Elephas maximus indicus: one gene and its partner. Each later gene encodes a partner of the first gene's protein in a complex. Links are inferred from orthologs where the notes say so. Each region holds a gene or a part of one and is shown on either strand. Other genes may lie near its edges.

What was found. The genes of interacting proteins can lie anywhere in the genome.
Region 2: the proteins of SYK (region 1) and TYROBP are in contact, whole or in part, in a crystal structure (PDB 7Q5W), measured with the Homo sapiens proteins. The link is inferred for Elephas maximus indicus from reciprocal best matches to the Homo sapiens genes SYK and TYROBP. Residues at the interface, in NP_001167638.1 of Homo sapiens: Arg22, Arg42, Asn46, His62, His63, Tyr64, Thr65, Ile76, Ala77, Gly78, Gly79, His92, Asp97, Gly98, Leu99, Arg175, Arg195, Arg197, Lys212, Leu214, His215, Tyr216, Arg217, Ile228, Pro229, Glu230, Gly231, Lys232, His243, Lys247; in NP_003323.1 of Homo sapiens: Pro90, Tyr91, Gln92, Glu93, Leu94, Gln95, Arg98, Ser99, Asp100, Val101, Tyr102, Ser103, Asp104, Leu105, Asn106.

Annotation. Positions count from the first base shown.
Region 1 is NC_064827.1:118,741,082-118,748,244, reverse strand, and holds the start of SYK (tyrosine-protein kinase SYK), read left to right. Parts: upstream 1-4,116; 5' UTR 4,117-5,410; coding exon 5,411-5,467; intron 5,468-7,163. UniProt on the Homo sapiens protein: Non-receptor tyrosine kinase which mediates signal transduction downstream of a variety of transmembrane receptors including classical immunoreceptors like the B-cell receptor (BCR).
Region 2 is NC_064829.1:115,010,691-115,017,874, reverse strand, and holds the start of TYROBP (TYRO protein tyrosine kinase-binding protein), read left to right. Parts: upstream 1-4,178; 5' UTR 4,179-4,312; intron 4,313-5,318; 5' UTR 5,319-5,375; coding exon 5,376-5,436; intron 5,437-5,806; coding exon 5,807-5,833; intron 5,834-5,988; coding exon 5,989-6,123; intron 6,124-6,303; coding exon 6,304-6,350; intron 6,351-7,118; coding exon 7,119-7,184. UniProt on the Homo sapiens protein: Adapter protein which non-covalently associates with activating receptors found on the surface of a variety of immune cells to mediate signaling and cell activation following ligand binding by the receptors.

The DNA of each region.
Region 1 (7,163 bases):
ACACTGCCCGGTCCTGCACCATCATCACGATGGTTGTTATGCTTGAGCCCATTGTTGCAGTCACTGTGCCAGTCAATTGTCAAGAGTCAATTAGAATTCTTGTGTCAGATAATATATTTTGTTTCTCTTATTTACAAAGCAGGGAAATAATTTTTAAAATCAAATTACATTTGACTGTCTTTGTAAGAGACATGATTTTGAATCCAATGAACTATTTTATAATATGGTGAAACTCTCTTAGCCTTGTGTTTTATATTAACTCATTAAATGGGTAGCTTTTTTCTTTTAATCGTGCTTTAAGTGAAAGTTTAAATTCAAGTCAGTTTCTCATACAAAAACTTATACACACATTGTTATGTGACCCTAGTTGCTCTCCCTATAACGTGACAGCACACTCTCTACCCTCTATTTCCCATGTCTCTTCAACCAGCTCTTGCCCCCATCTGCTTTCTCATCTCGCCTCCAGATAGGAGCTGCCTACATAGTCTCATGTGTCTACATGAGCCGAGAATCTCACTCCTCACCAGTATCATTTTATGTCTTATAGTCCAGTCTATTCTTTGTCTGAAGAGTTGGCTTCAGGAATGGTTTTAGCTTTGAGGTAACAGAGAGTCCAGGTGCCATTCCCTCTGGGGTCCCTGCAGTCTCAGTCAGACCATTAAGTCTGGTCTTTTTTTTTTTTTTTAGTCAATCACCCAATTTTATCAGATCTTAATATTCTGTCACACTTGCTTTATATTCCATGATCTTTTTTTTTTTATTGTGCTTTAAGTGAAAGTTTGCAGTTCAAGTCAGTTTCTCATACAAAAACTTATACACATTGTTATGTAACCCTAGCTGCTGTCACTGTAATGTGACAGCACACTCCTCCTCTCCACTCTGTATTTCCCATGTCCATTCAACCAGCTCCTGTCCCCCTCTGCCTTCTCATCTCACCCATGGACAGGAACTGCCCACAGTCTCATGAGTCTACTTGAGCTTAGAAGCACACTCCTCACCAGTATCAATTTGCGTCTTATAGTGCAGTCTAATCTTTGTCTGAAGAGTTGGCTTCGGGAATGGTTTTAGCTTTGGGCTAACAGAGAGTCCGGGGGCCATGACCTCTGGGGTCCCTCCAGTCTCAGTCAGACCATTAAGTCTGGTCTTTTTACTAGAATTTGAGGTCTACAACACACTTTTCTCCTGGTCCATCAGGGATTCTCCGTTGTGTTCCCTGTCAGGTCAGTCATTGGTGGTAGCTGGGCACCACCTAGTTCTTCTGGTCTCAGGCTGATGGAGTCTCTGGTTTATGTGGCCCTTTCTGTCTCTTGGGCCCATATTTTCATTGTGTCCTTGGTGTTCTTCATTCTCCTTTGCTGCAGGTGGGTTGAAACCAGTTGATGCATCTTATATGGCCACTTGCTAGTTTTTAAGACCTCAGATGCCACTCACCAAAGTGGGATGCAGAACATTTTCATAATACACTTTGTTGTGCCTACTGACCTAGATGTCTCCTGAAACCATGGTTCCCAGACCCCCACCCCTGCTACTCTGTCCCTCGAAGTATTTGGTTGTTTTCAGGAAACTTCTTAGCTTTTGGTTTAATCCAGCTCTGCTGACTTCCCCTGTATTATGTGTTGTCCTTCCCTTCACTTAAAATAGTTTTTATCTACTATCTAATTAGTGAATATTCCTCTCCCTCCCTCCCCACCCTTGTAACCATCAAAGAATGTTTTCTTCTGTGTTTAAACCTTTTCTTAAGTTCTTATAATAGTGGTCTCATACAATATTTGTCCTTTTGCAACTGACTAATTTCTATCAGCATAATACCTTCCAGATTCTTCCATTTATAAGATGTTTCATGGATTCATCGTTGTTCTTTATCATTGCATAGTATTCCATTGTGTGAATATACCATAATTTGTTGATCCATTCATCCGTTGGTGGGCATCTTGGTTGTTTCCATCTTTTTGCTATTGTAAACAGTGCTGCAATGAACATGGGCGTGCCTATATCTGTTAAGTGAAGGCTCTTATTTCTCTAGGATGTATTCTAAGAAATAGAATTGCTGGGTCATATGGTACTTCTTTATCTAGCTTTCTAAGGAAGTGCCAAATCGATTTCCAAAGTGGTTGTACCATTTTATATTCCCACCAGCAGTGTATAAGTGTTTCAGCCTTCCACAACCTCTTCAACATTTATGTTTTTTGGATTAATGCCAGCCTTGTTGGGGTGAGATGGTATATCATTGTAGTTTGAATTTGCATTTCTGTAATGGCTAATGATCATGAGCATTTCCACATAAAATGCTGCCTGAATGTCTTCTTTGGTGAAGTGCCTGTTCATATCCTTTGTAAATGGGCAGATTTTTATTGAGCTCATTTTATGTGCCTGGAGTCCCCAGGTAGTACAAATGGTTAACACACCTGACTGCTAACCAAAAGGTTGTGGAGGTGGGAGTCCACCCAGAGGTACCTCAGAAGAAAGACCTGGCCATCTACTTTTGAAAAATCAGCCAATGAAAACGCTATGGAGCACAGTTCTACTTTGACACACATGGACTTAGCATGAGGTAGAGTCGACACAGGAGTTGATGGCAAGTGGTAGCTGGTTCCTGTGTGCCTACCACCATTCTGGAGACCCTTCTGGGTGCCAGGAGTACATTAGTGAGCATGTTGTGAGGCCAGACAAGTTACAGCCATCGGGATTAAAAGCTGTCTGATCAACGTGACATTTCTGTTTAAATTTGGTAGCAAGCCCAGTGAGTTCTCAAAATAAGAACCTTCTGATTATCACAAAAGTGTCTTTCTTGTGAAAGAATACTTTTTCATAGCCATTAAAAAAAAAAAAAAATGTTCCTCTTAACCAGGGACTGATTTTATGGCAGGTTTTACTTTCAGCTGGCAACGATGTAATGCACACCACCAGGATGTCCACAGGGCTGATAATGTTCAGACCCACAGGATGATCACAGGCCATACTGGGCACAGGAACCCCAGCTTCCCAGCAGGGCAGCATCAGGTATCTTCCTGCAGAGGGAGTCTTCGCTGCAGTCCACACCTCTCAGGGCCAAGGAGGCAAGGTCCACATGGAAGCCTGCCCCAGGAGCCATTTCTCTCTAAACAACACTGTAGACATAGTTTCTAGAGTCCTTACAAGAAACAGGCTCAAAGCTCTGGCTTTTTATTAAGTATTTATAGTTCTGCCAGACTGGAAAGAAAGGCATGGCAATCTGCTTCCAAAAATCAGCCAGTGAAAACTCTGTGGTGACAAGGGCCTGATCCACAACTGATCATGGAAATGGTGCGGGATGGCACAGGAATGGGCAGTGTTACTATTACCATAAGCAATGCTGCTTAACTATATAATTGACAGGCTGCCTTATCAGGTTACCTGGGGAACAAGGCTGGAGAGCTAACCAGAAGTCAGGTTCTTTTGCAGAAGGGAATAGATTCTGTTAACCTATTGCCCATATTTAACACTAACTTGTTTTTTAAAATACGTAAGTCGTCGTTTCTTTACAACATTGTTCTTCGTACAGCCATATGAACCCCGGCCCTTGTTTATTTGCTTAATATATGCTTTCCCCAGGAGAATGTTTCCATGGATGGTGGGAGCCGTTGGCCCTGGAGGGGAGATGTATTTTATCACTGGAATCATTTTCAATTGTTGTGGCGTGGTAATGCTGTTATTGTTTCCCAGGGCCAGCTATTCCCACGGCCCCAGCTGTGGCATGGGCCCCAGTCCTTCTTATTTTCTGCTGGGAACCCAGCACCTAGAACATGCCTGACACATGGGAGGTTCATGGATGCTAAAAGAAGTGAATGTGGAATGCTGATTGGCACGTTCTGCTTTATTTTTAAAAATCGTACTTTATAAATTAAGCTGTTTGAGTATCTCCACATGTATCTTACTTCATGTAGCATTTTATAGAAATTCTCGTCATAGCCAACCTCTGTATGAACTAGTGTGTATAAAAACCAGTGTCACTGGAACTGTACTATTACAGATAATAAATTGGTGTTTTTTGAAAATCGGTTACCCTCTAAGGAACAAAATTTATGTTTGAAGTATATTCTATTATTTGAATAATATTCTGAATGTAATATTTGCTTATTGAAGGATTCTATGGCCAAAAAATTGAATGACATAGGAAGTATCAAAAGAAGATGGAAGGAATATGCAGAGTAACTGTACCAAAAAGAATTGGTTGACATTTATTTCTGGAGGCAGCATATGACCAAGAACTGATGGTACTGAAGGAAGAAGTCCAAGCTGCACTAAGGGTATTGGCAAAAAAAGCAAGGCTCCAGGAATTGACAGAACACCAACTGAAATATTTCAACAAATGGATGTAATGCTGGAAGTCCTCACTTATCTACGCCAAGAAATTTGTTAGACAGCTACCTGGCCAACCAACTGGAAGAGATCCATATCTGTGCCCATTCTGAGGAGAGGTGGTCCAACGGAATGTGGAAATTATAGAACAATATCATTAATATCATATGCAGGTAAAATTTTGCTGAAGATAGCTCAAGAACAGTTGTAGCAGTACAGCAGCAGGGGACTACCAGAAATTCAAGCCAGATTGAGAAGAGGATGTGAAACTAGGGATATCATTGCTGATATCAGATGGATCTTGGCTGAAAGCAGGTAATACCAGAAAGATGTTTACCTGTATTTTATTGACTATGCAAAGGTATTTGACTATGTGAATCATAATGAATTATGGATAACATTGCAAAGGATGGGAATTCCAGAACATTGAACTGTGCTCAAGAGGAACCTGTGCATAGACCAAGAACAGTCACTGGAACAGAACAAGGGAATACTGCATGGTTTAAAATCAGGAAGGGTGTGTGTCAGGGTTGTATCCTTTTACCATGCTTATTTAATCTGTATGCTGAGCAAATAATCCGAGAAGCTGCACTATTTGTGGAAGAATGGAGCATCAGGATTGGAGGAAGCCTTATTAACAACTGGCGTTATGCAGATGATACAACCTTGCTTGCTGAAAGTGAAATGGATTTGAAGCACTTACTGATGAAGATCAAAGACCACCTCATTACACCTCAACACGAACAAAAATCCTCACAACTGGACCAATAAGCAATACTGTGATAAACGGAGAAAAGATTGAAGCTCTCAAGGATTTCATTTTACTTGAATCCACAATCAGTGCCCATGGAAGCAAAAGTCAAGAAATCAAAAGATGCATTGCATTGGGCAAATCTGCCGCAAAAGACCTCTTTCAAGTATTAAAAAGCGAAGTTGTCACTTTAAGGACTAAGATGCGCCTGACCCAAGCCAAAGTATTTTCAGTCGCCTCATGTGCATGCGAAAACGGAACAATGAATAAAGAAGACCAAAGGAGAATTGATGACTTGAATTATGGTGAAGAATATGAATATTCCAGTGGACTGCCGGAAGAATGAACAAATCTGTCTTGGAAGAAGAACAAGAAGAATGCTCCTTAGAAGTGAGAATGGTGAGATTTTGTCTCACGTACTGTGGACATGTTATCAGGAGGGACTAGTACCAGGAGAAGGACATCATGCTTGGTAAAGTAGAGGGTCAGTGAAAAAGAGGAGGACCCTCGATGAGACGGACTGACACGGTGGCTGCAACAGTGGGTTCAAATGCAGCAACCGGTGTGAGGATTGTCAGGACTGGGCAGTGTTTCGTTATGTTGTGCATGGGGTCGCTGTGAGTCAGAACCGACTCTACTGCACCTAACAACAACAACAGCAATATTGACTTCCTAAATTTTTCTTTGTACACTCTCTTTTCTTTTAATTTTGTAATGAAAAATTTCATATAAACATGTTGAATACTCATACTTAAGAAACTTAAACCATTCAGAGAGTTTATAACAAAAAGGAAGACTCTACTAGCACACTCTTCTTTTCCCCCCGTTGTGCTCCAGGAGGCTCCCTTTTTTTTTTTTTTTAAAGTGTAGTAATTTTATCACTTTTATTTAAATGATTTATGCCCTCTATAAAATCTCTCAAGCAATCTACAAAAGTATGTTAAGAAATTTCCCTAATTCTTACCATAACAAAACGACGAGTAGTGACTTTAATGAATGTTATTTCAGATAGGTCTTTTTTGCAAATACACAGATGGATGGATGGATGGATGGATGGATGGATGGATGGATGGATGGATGGATGGATGGATGGATGGATGGATGGATGGATGGATGGATGGATGGATGGATGGATGGATGGATGGATGGATGGATGGATGGATGGATGGATGGATGGATGGATGGATGGATGGATGGATGGGTGGATGGATGGATGGGTGGATGGGTGGATGGATGGATGGAAAGGAAAGAATCATGGTATACATAAGTTTTTTCAATTTAACAGATTATTTTAGAACTTATTTTACTTGAATTTAATAAAGGAGAAAGAAACTGAAATGACAACAAAGGAGCTGAAAACATTAAAAAAATGTTTCTTCACCGTATGAAATATTATTATCCTTAAGATCTTTTGATGGTTAAGAAAAAAAAACATCATGAGACCATTGCTTGGCTAAGCATTGTCCTTTAAAAAACCTATTCCTGCTTAAAGAGTATTCATTGGCTCTTTTTTATGAAAAATGAAGTGACAAATATTTTTATATTCACATGTTCTGACGTGTGTTCCTTATGTTTATTTTTTTAATTTCTCAAAGTTACTAACAATTACATATGTACATATTCATTTGTTGGCATTTATAAACATTTGTGTTGTGTTCTGAAACCAAAAACACCTTTCTTTTTTAATATTTATATTTAAATATATTTCACTGCTCACCACCATGTTTTTCACCATGCTACGTCCATTCCTGATTTATTTATTTTGATAGAGTCCCTGACTGGCAGGTTTTATTGTTGAGTAGTTTTTGTTTGTTTTATTTTTACTTTTTTTTTTTTTATTCATTTCACCCATTCTTTGATATTTGAGAATGCCTGCATATTGCAGGTTGTTAATGAGCCTTCCTCCAATCCTGATGCCACATTCTACCTATAGTCCAGTTTCTCACATTTTTTGCTCGGCATACAGATTAAATAAGTATGGTGAAAGGATACAACCCTGACACACACCTTTCTTGATTTTAGACCATGCAGTATTTCTTTGTTCTGTTCTGGTGGCAGCCTCTTTGTCTGTATACAGTTTCCACATGAGCACAGT
Region 2 (7,184 bases), on another chromosome or scaffold:
TCCTTTGCTCCAGGTGGGTTGAGACCAATTGATGCATCTTAGATGGCCGCTTGTTAGCATTTAAGACCTCAGACGCCACATTTCAAAGTGGGATGCAGAATGATTTCATACTGCCAAACACCTCACAAAATTTGTTTTCTTGGTTTGGAGGTTTAGGGTCATGGTTTCATGAGATGTTCCACTCCTTTAGCCTAATAACGATTTTAGTGCTTCTGTTCTACCTGTCGTATAGTTCCTGGGGTCTTAAAAGCTTGCCAGTAGCCATCCAAAGTACAACAATTGGTCTCTATTCACCTGGAACACCAGAAGAAGCAGGAGGGTCAGGATTCTGAGGAGGAACTGGAATGCAGGCCTAACTGCCTCCATGAACTACTGCCTCCTTTGCCATGAGACTAGAAGAACTGGATGGTGCCCAGCTACCATTTCTGGGCATTTTGTTCAAAGATTCTATAGAAGAATTCTGATCAAAAGGGGAAAAAAAATGTGGCACAGAATTTAAAAGTCTAATGGAATCCAGAATTTCTAGAGCCATTGAAGCTGGGTGACTCCATGAAACTGTTGCCCTGAGGAAATCTTTAAACCTTAAACCTCAAACCTCAAGCCAGAATTAGTTCCTTAAGTCTTCTTTAAACCAAACGATAGTTTAGCGTAATTAGAAGAGAATGTCTGTTTGAGCATTGTGTTCTTTTAAAGAATTATTTATATGTGATCAACTTGTTAACAGCAACTCAAAAGGTTAGATGAGAAGCTTAGGGGGTGGTGAGTTTGTATTAACGATGGTAAAACATATGGAAAAAGATATCAAGGAAGGTGGCACAATTTGAAGAATATAACCAATATCACCGAATTGTACATATAGGAATTGTTGAATTGGTGTATGTTTTGTTTTGCATATTTTCACCAAAAAAATAGAGGAAGAAATAGTGGCCATGTCTGGGATACCTTTAAACCTCTCAGAGACAAGGAGCCATGTTTAATTCAACCTGTTACCACTGGTGGTCATTTAGTCCAACACCCAATGAATATTTAGTGAGCGCCTACTCTGCGCTGGGAGCCCTGGTGGCACGGTGGTTAAGAGCTTGGCCGCTAACCAAAAGCTCAGCATTGGAATCCACCAGTTGATCCTTGGAAGCCTGATGGGCAGTTGTAGTCTGTCCTACAGGGTTGCTATGAGTCGGAACTGACTCGACAGCACCGGGTGTCAGTACTGTGTGCTGAGAATACAACAGTGAACAAGGCAGAAAGGTACCTGTTCTCATGGAGTTTCCATTCCAGAGGAAGTGGCGAATGGTAAAAACAGGAACCCATCAGTCAGAATTTCAGGTATGACAAATACCAGAAAGAAAAATTAAACTGGGGGTGGGAGGTGACTTCAGTTGTGGTGGTCAGGGCAAGCCTCTGTGAGAGAGTGACATTTGAGTTCATGAGAAAAGACCAGTTATACAAAGATTTTGGGAAAAACCGCATAGGCAGGAACAACAGCAAGTACGGAGGCCCTGAGGTGTGAATACCAAGAAGAAAAAACAAACCTGTTGCCGTGGAGTCGATGCCAACTCACAGCAACCCTATAGGACAGAGTAGAACTGCCCCATAGGGTTTCCAGGGAGCAGCTGGTGGATTCCAACTGCCAGCCTTTTGGTTAGCAGCCGAGGCCCCTAACCACTGCACCACCAGGGGCTCCGTGAGGTGTGGATAAGCTTGGCTCATTCAAGAAACAGCAAGCAGGCTGGAGTAGCTGGAATAGAGTGTGTGAGGGGAGAGAGGTGGGAGGGGAGGGCAGGGAGATGGTTGGGGGAAGGATCTTGTGGGCCTCACCCGTCTTTATGGAATCACAGGTTTTTATTTTTCTTGGTTAAATACCTAATAGTGGAATTGCTCCATCGCTGGATAGGCGAATGTTTAACTATCTAAGAAACCGCCGATCTGTGTTCCAAAGTGCTTGCGCTCCCTTATTCCTGTCGTTCCGGAGCCTCGCTGACACTCGATGGGGTCAGTCCTTTTCTTGTTAGTCATCCTGGTGGGCGTGTAGTGTACTTCACTGCGGTTACACTTTGCATTTCCTTAATGACTAATGCCGCCGAGTGCTCCTCTCATGCTTATCGGCCATTTGTATCTATCTCTTATGACACGTCTGTTCAAGTCTTTCGGTGGTTTAAAAAATTACTTTTAAAAAGCTCCTTCAGGCCATCGAGGGGTGAAAGTGGAAGCAGGGAGAGAGGGAGGGGCTGTGACTTCCACAGAGACCAGCACCCTACAGGCTCAACACAGCCTAGTTTCTGGGAAAGTCGGCTTTGGCCTTCCCCAGCCGCTTGACTCTTGGGCTGCTGCCAGGAGAGGCTGAGATACTTTAAAGATCTTGCCTGGGGGCCCTCAGCCCTGTTTCCTGGGGCCAGGCAGGCACTATGGGGGTGGGGTGGGAGGAGCAGCACCCAGTCAGCCAGGTGACCTCCACAGCTGCCTCTGCTCTCACCAGTACAGGGGCCTTACCCGTCCCTGGAGCAGAGACCAGCCGGGTCTGCATTCCACTCCCTGCACCAGCCTGTCACCTCATCAGGGCCCCTGCCCGGGAGCAGTCTAGCCAACAAAACCTACTCCACGTCAGAAAGAGTGAGAAAGTTTGTTCAGGAGATGTTTGCATCACCGGGGACCCGGCAGCAACACAGGCTGTCTCTATGGAGTCCCAAAGAGCAGTTTTACGTCAGAGCTTATATAGAGTCTTACAAAGCTTCCAAGTGTTTTTGTATGCAGATGGCCTGGCCAGAGGAGTTATTCATCACAAGATAGATAGTGACAAAAGACTCTTTATCAGAGTAAAGACACACAAGCCCTCTTTATCAGGCTAAAGACAGACATATCAAACACCTGGGTCGAAAGTCACAGGTGGTCGGACAGAACAAAACAAAGTTATTTGCATCAGATTAAAACAAAGAACAAAATCATTAGCATTAGGTCAAAACAAAGTCCTTAATGAAGGTATGCGAAGGAGGAGGCAAGCAGAGGACAAAGAAAAACTTATAGGTTCATCATGGCGTTAGTTATGTCAAGCTCTCAGTCGCTCGTTTTGAAAAAGGAGAAACCATGCTGGGGAGTATTAGGGTCACAAGCGTAGTTGTACCGCTTATTAAAATACTGAAGTCCTTCACTTCTGGTTGGTAAAGAACCTCTTCCCCACAGGGCGCAAATGCCCCTGGCACCCCAGCCTGTTCCCTAGGGCCCCTTGGACTTCCCCACATTTGGGGTTTGATCAAATGTCGTCTGGGGACAGCCCAGACCTGGCCAGAGTTGGGAGGAGCAGATAAGTGGCTGACACTGATGGGTTGAGGGAGAATTTTGGTCAAGGTGAGCCCAGAACTGAAGATTTAAAATAATACCCAACAGTGACCATGGAAAGAAACCCTGGTGGCACAGTGGTTAAGAGCTCCACTGCTAACCAAAAGGTCGGCAGTTCGAATCCCCCAGGTGCTCCCCGGAAACTCTATGGGGCAGTTCTACTCTGTCCTATAGGGTCGCTAAGTGTTGGCATGGACTCGATGGCACTGGGTTTGGTTTTTTTTTGGTTGGACAGTGACGCTAATAATGGTGATTTCCGTTTACTGCACACAAACAGTACGCTGGCACTGCTCTAACATTTTATGTGAAACCTCACCAAACCTTCATAGTAACCTGGACCATCACAGCAGCCTGGTCTCCTCGCTCCTGTCCCTGCCCGCAGAGCTCTTCCCCACACGGAGCCGTGGGAGCCTGTGACCACCTGAGTCACATCACAGCCCTCCTGGCTCAGGGCTCCCCAAGCCTCTGCTCTCCCCTGTGCTCACTCCAGCCACGAGGAGGGTCACGGTGGGCCCTAAGGTGGGCTCTACGCTCACCTTACAGGAGGGATTTAGGTTCTTTAGTGACAGGACTTGGCCAGGCTGGGGCAGTGGCGGTGGCCATTAGCAGCCAGCGATGCCTCAGCCTGAGCCCTGACCCTCCTCCAGACCACAAACCCTGCCCCTGCTGGCCACCCAGCGTCTGCCCACGCCAGCATCCAGTTTCCCCTTTTCTGTCCAGAGCCTTGGCCCAGGGAACTGTGGGATGTGGCAATAGGACGGGGGAGGGGGCTTCCTGCAGCTGGCCCATCCCCCCAGCACCCTAACCTCAGGTTCCTTCTTCCTGGGCTTCAGCTGGGGCTAGATGTTCCCGCTTCCTCCCGGGTGACCTGTCTCAGTCCTCTTCCCAGCCACTTCTTTGTTCGGTGGGACGGCCCAGCTTGGCACAGTGGTCACTACGTTGTCCCGCCACGTGGCTCCCCCCAGGCTCATGTGTCTGTGCGGTGCGTATCTGTGTCACCGTCTACGCTGCTCCCTCTTTCTCTGCCTGGTCATTGTTTTCTCCTTCCCATCTTTCTTCCTGCTTGTTTGCTTTTGGTTTCTGCGGAAGAACCAAAAAACTGCCTTTGGGGACTGGGTTGATTTCCACCTTATTTGCTGTGTGACCTTGGGCAAGTGTCTTTACACCTCTGGAGTGATAAATATTTACCTCAGAAGTGTGTTACAGGCATTAAATGAGTTAGCACTTAAGACAGAGCCTTAAATCATTCTGTCCCACATCCTGATAGCTGTATTTTGTTTTTCCTCAATTTTATTTATTTTGTTGCTGTTGTTGAGAATATACACCGATGACTGTATTTTAATATCCTAAGAACATCGTAAGGTTCTGAATATCAAATAATAATAATTATACCCTTTACCATCAAGTCAATTCCAACTCATAGTGACCCTATAGGTCAGGGTAGAACTGCCCTATAGGGTTTCCAAGGAGTGGCTGGTGGATTTGAATAGCCGACCCTTTGGTTAGCAGCTGAGTTCTTAACCACTGTGCCACCAGGGCTCCCAATTATAATTACAGCCAACACGTGTGAAAGGAAAGCTGACAAGTGTCAGACCCTGTTCTAGGGACATTAATCGATTTAGTCCTTACAACAACCCTATGAAGCAGATACTATTTCATTCACTATTTCACAGACGAGGAAAACCAAGACCCAGAGAGACGGAGTGACTTGCTCAGAATTGCCTAGTCAGGAAGAGGCAGAGGTGGCTTAGGTCAGTCAGCCAGTGACCCTCATGTTAGAATGAAGTCTGGCCCCGATGAGTGAGAGAGGTCAAGAGCTGATAATATGGTGCCCTTTGCCTGCAACGTCCATCCTTTGGGGATGTAGCGTCATCCCTGCGGCGTTTGGGCCTGATTCTTGCTGCTGTTCTCTCTCTGGCCCTCCTCCTATACCGTCCCCTCCTCCCTCCTGCCACCACCCGCCTCAGACTTCCTCCTTCACTTCGTAGGACGCTAAGCCACAGCCACTGGCCCTTAGACTGGTGTCCAGCGGCATCGCCTGCATCATGGTGGGCATCGGACCCTCTGGGAGACTCCTGCTTCTGCCTCTTCTGCTGGCTGTGGGTGGTGAGTCGGGGCCTTCTGCATCTGCCTCTGGGGTCTCAGGTTCAGCTGGGGGCAGGCCAGGGAGCAGGGTAGAAAGAGGAAACCAAAGGGGAAGGTTGGGACAGGAGCCGATCCCCAGGCCCCTAAAGCCTGTGAGTCTCTACCGGAGACTGAGACTCCAAGACTTGGCCTCCGGTGGAAGCAGTGGCAGGGGACATCCAAGGGTGTCACAACAGGACAAGTCAGAGTAGAGGTAACACAGTCCACCAGGTCCCACCAGAAACTGCTTTCTCCCCTTGCCTTCTGGTGTCAGGAAACACCCGCCCCAGCTTCTATCAACACTACCCCGTCACAGTCCCGTATGTCAGCTTACCTTTTTTTCCTTCCTCAGGTCTCAGTCCTGCCCAGGCCCAGAGTGGTAAGAATCCAGACCCTGGTTTCTCTCCCCAGCTCCCGCATCTCTGTCCCTTCCCCAGTCTCTCCAAACCTCCCTCTGCTGGCTACCTGCCCCCCACCCCCACGCCTGCCCAAACTCCTGGCCCCCACTGACTTCCCCTGACCCCTGTGCCACAGAGTGCAAGTGCGCTACAGTTGGCCCTGGTGTGCTGGCTGGAATCGTGCTGGGGGACCTGTTGTTGACACTCCTCATCGCCCTGGCTGTGTACTCTCTGGGCCGGCTGGTCCCTCAGAAACGAGGGGCTGCAGAAAGTGAGTGGGACTGGTGGGAGCTGGCCTGGGACAGTCTGAGGACGTGCCTGGGGGGCAGGTATTAAGTTCCCAGGTCACAACCCACCAAAGGGATGGTGCTGGAGGGGCGGATTTTGAAGCCACAAAGTGATTTCAGTTCAGCACCCTGTCCACCTCCTCCTCTTACGCCCCTTCTCTCAGCAGTGACCCGGAAACAGCGCGTTAATGAGACCGAGTCACCTTACCAGGTGAGTACACAGCTTCTCTTCCTCAAGTCTTAACTCCTGTCCTTAGGGTCCGGGTCCCAAACGCCCCCCTCCATCCCTTCCAGGCCTCAGACTCTCAAACTGCTCCCCCCAATAACTCCCCAAACCCTTGAAGGCAAATAAAAACATGGGGCATTTGTCCAAAACCTGTTTTAACAATGACCTTAGCTTCAGGTTAAAACGTGTGTGGAGGACACTGAGGGGTGAATTTACCTTTGCAAGGCAAGTTGTGCCTTACTCAGAAGGCAGGCTCAGGATTATTTGGGAGAAGGCATTTCGCAGGTGGCCATGGACCAGCAGCAAAGCTTAGGCCCTAGCTGGGCAGATAGACTTGGAGTAAATAAACAAGATAATTTTGGGAGGCATCATAAAGGAAATAAAGCAGGCTGATGTGGTAGTAGCTGGGGTGTCGGGGGAGGAAACTATAGGTGGGGAAATCAAGCAGTGCCTCCATAAGGAGGTGACATTGAGCCACCCATGAGAAGATCTAGGGGATTGGTGTTCCAAGCAGAGAGAAGGGCCCCTCGCAAACGCCCTGAAGCTGGGGCATAACCACGAGGCAGAAGGGGAAGGGGCACACTGAATGCGCTTTAATACAATCCAGACCGCTGCTGTGGGTTTCAAGGTTGAAGAAGCTGGCAGGTGCCTCACAGGCCACTAGGAGAGGCTGGAGTTTGTTCTAAGTTTATTTGGTGGACCCCTTGCACTGATGGTCCCCAACCTGTTCACCCACTGCCCTCATTCCTTTAGGAGCTCCAGGGTCAAAGGTCGGATTTATACAGTGATCTCAACACACAGAAGCCGTATTACAAATGA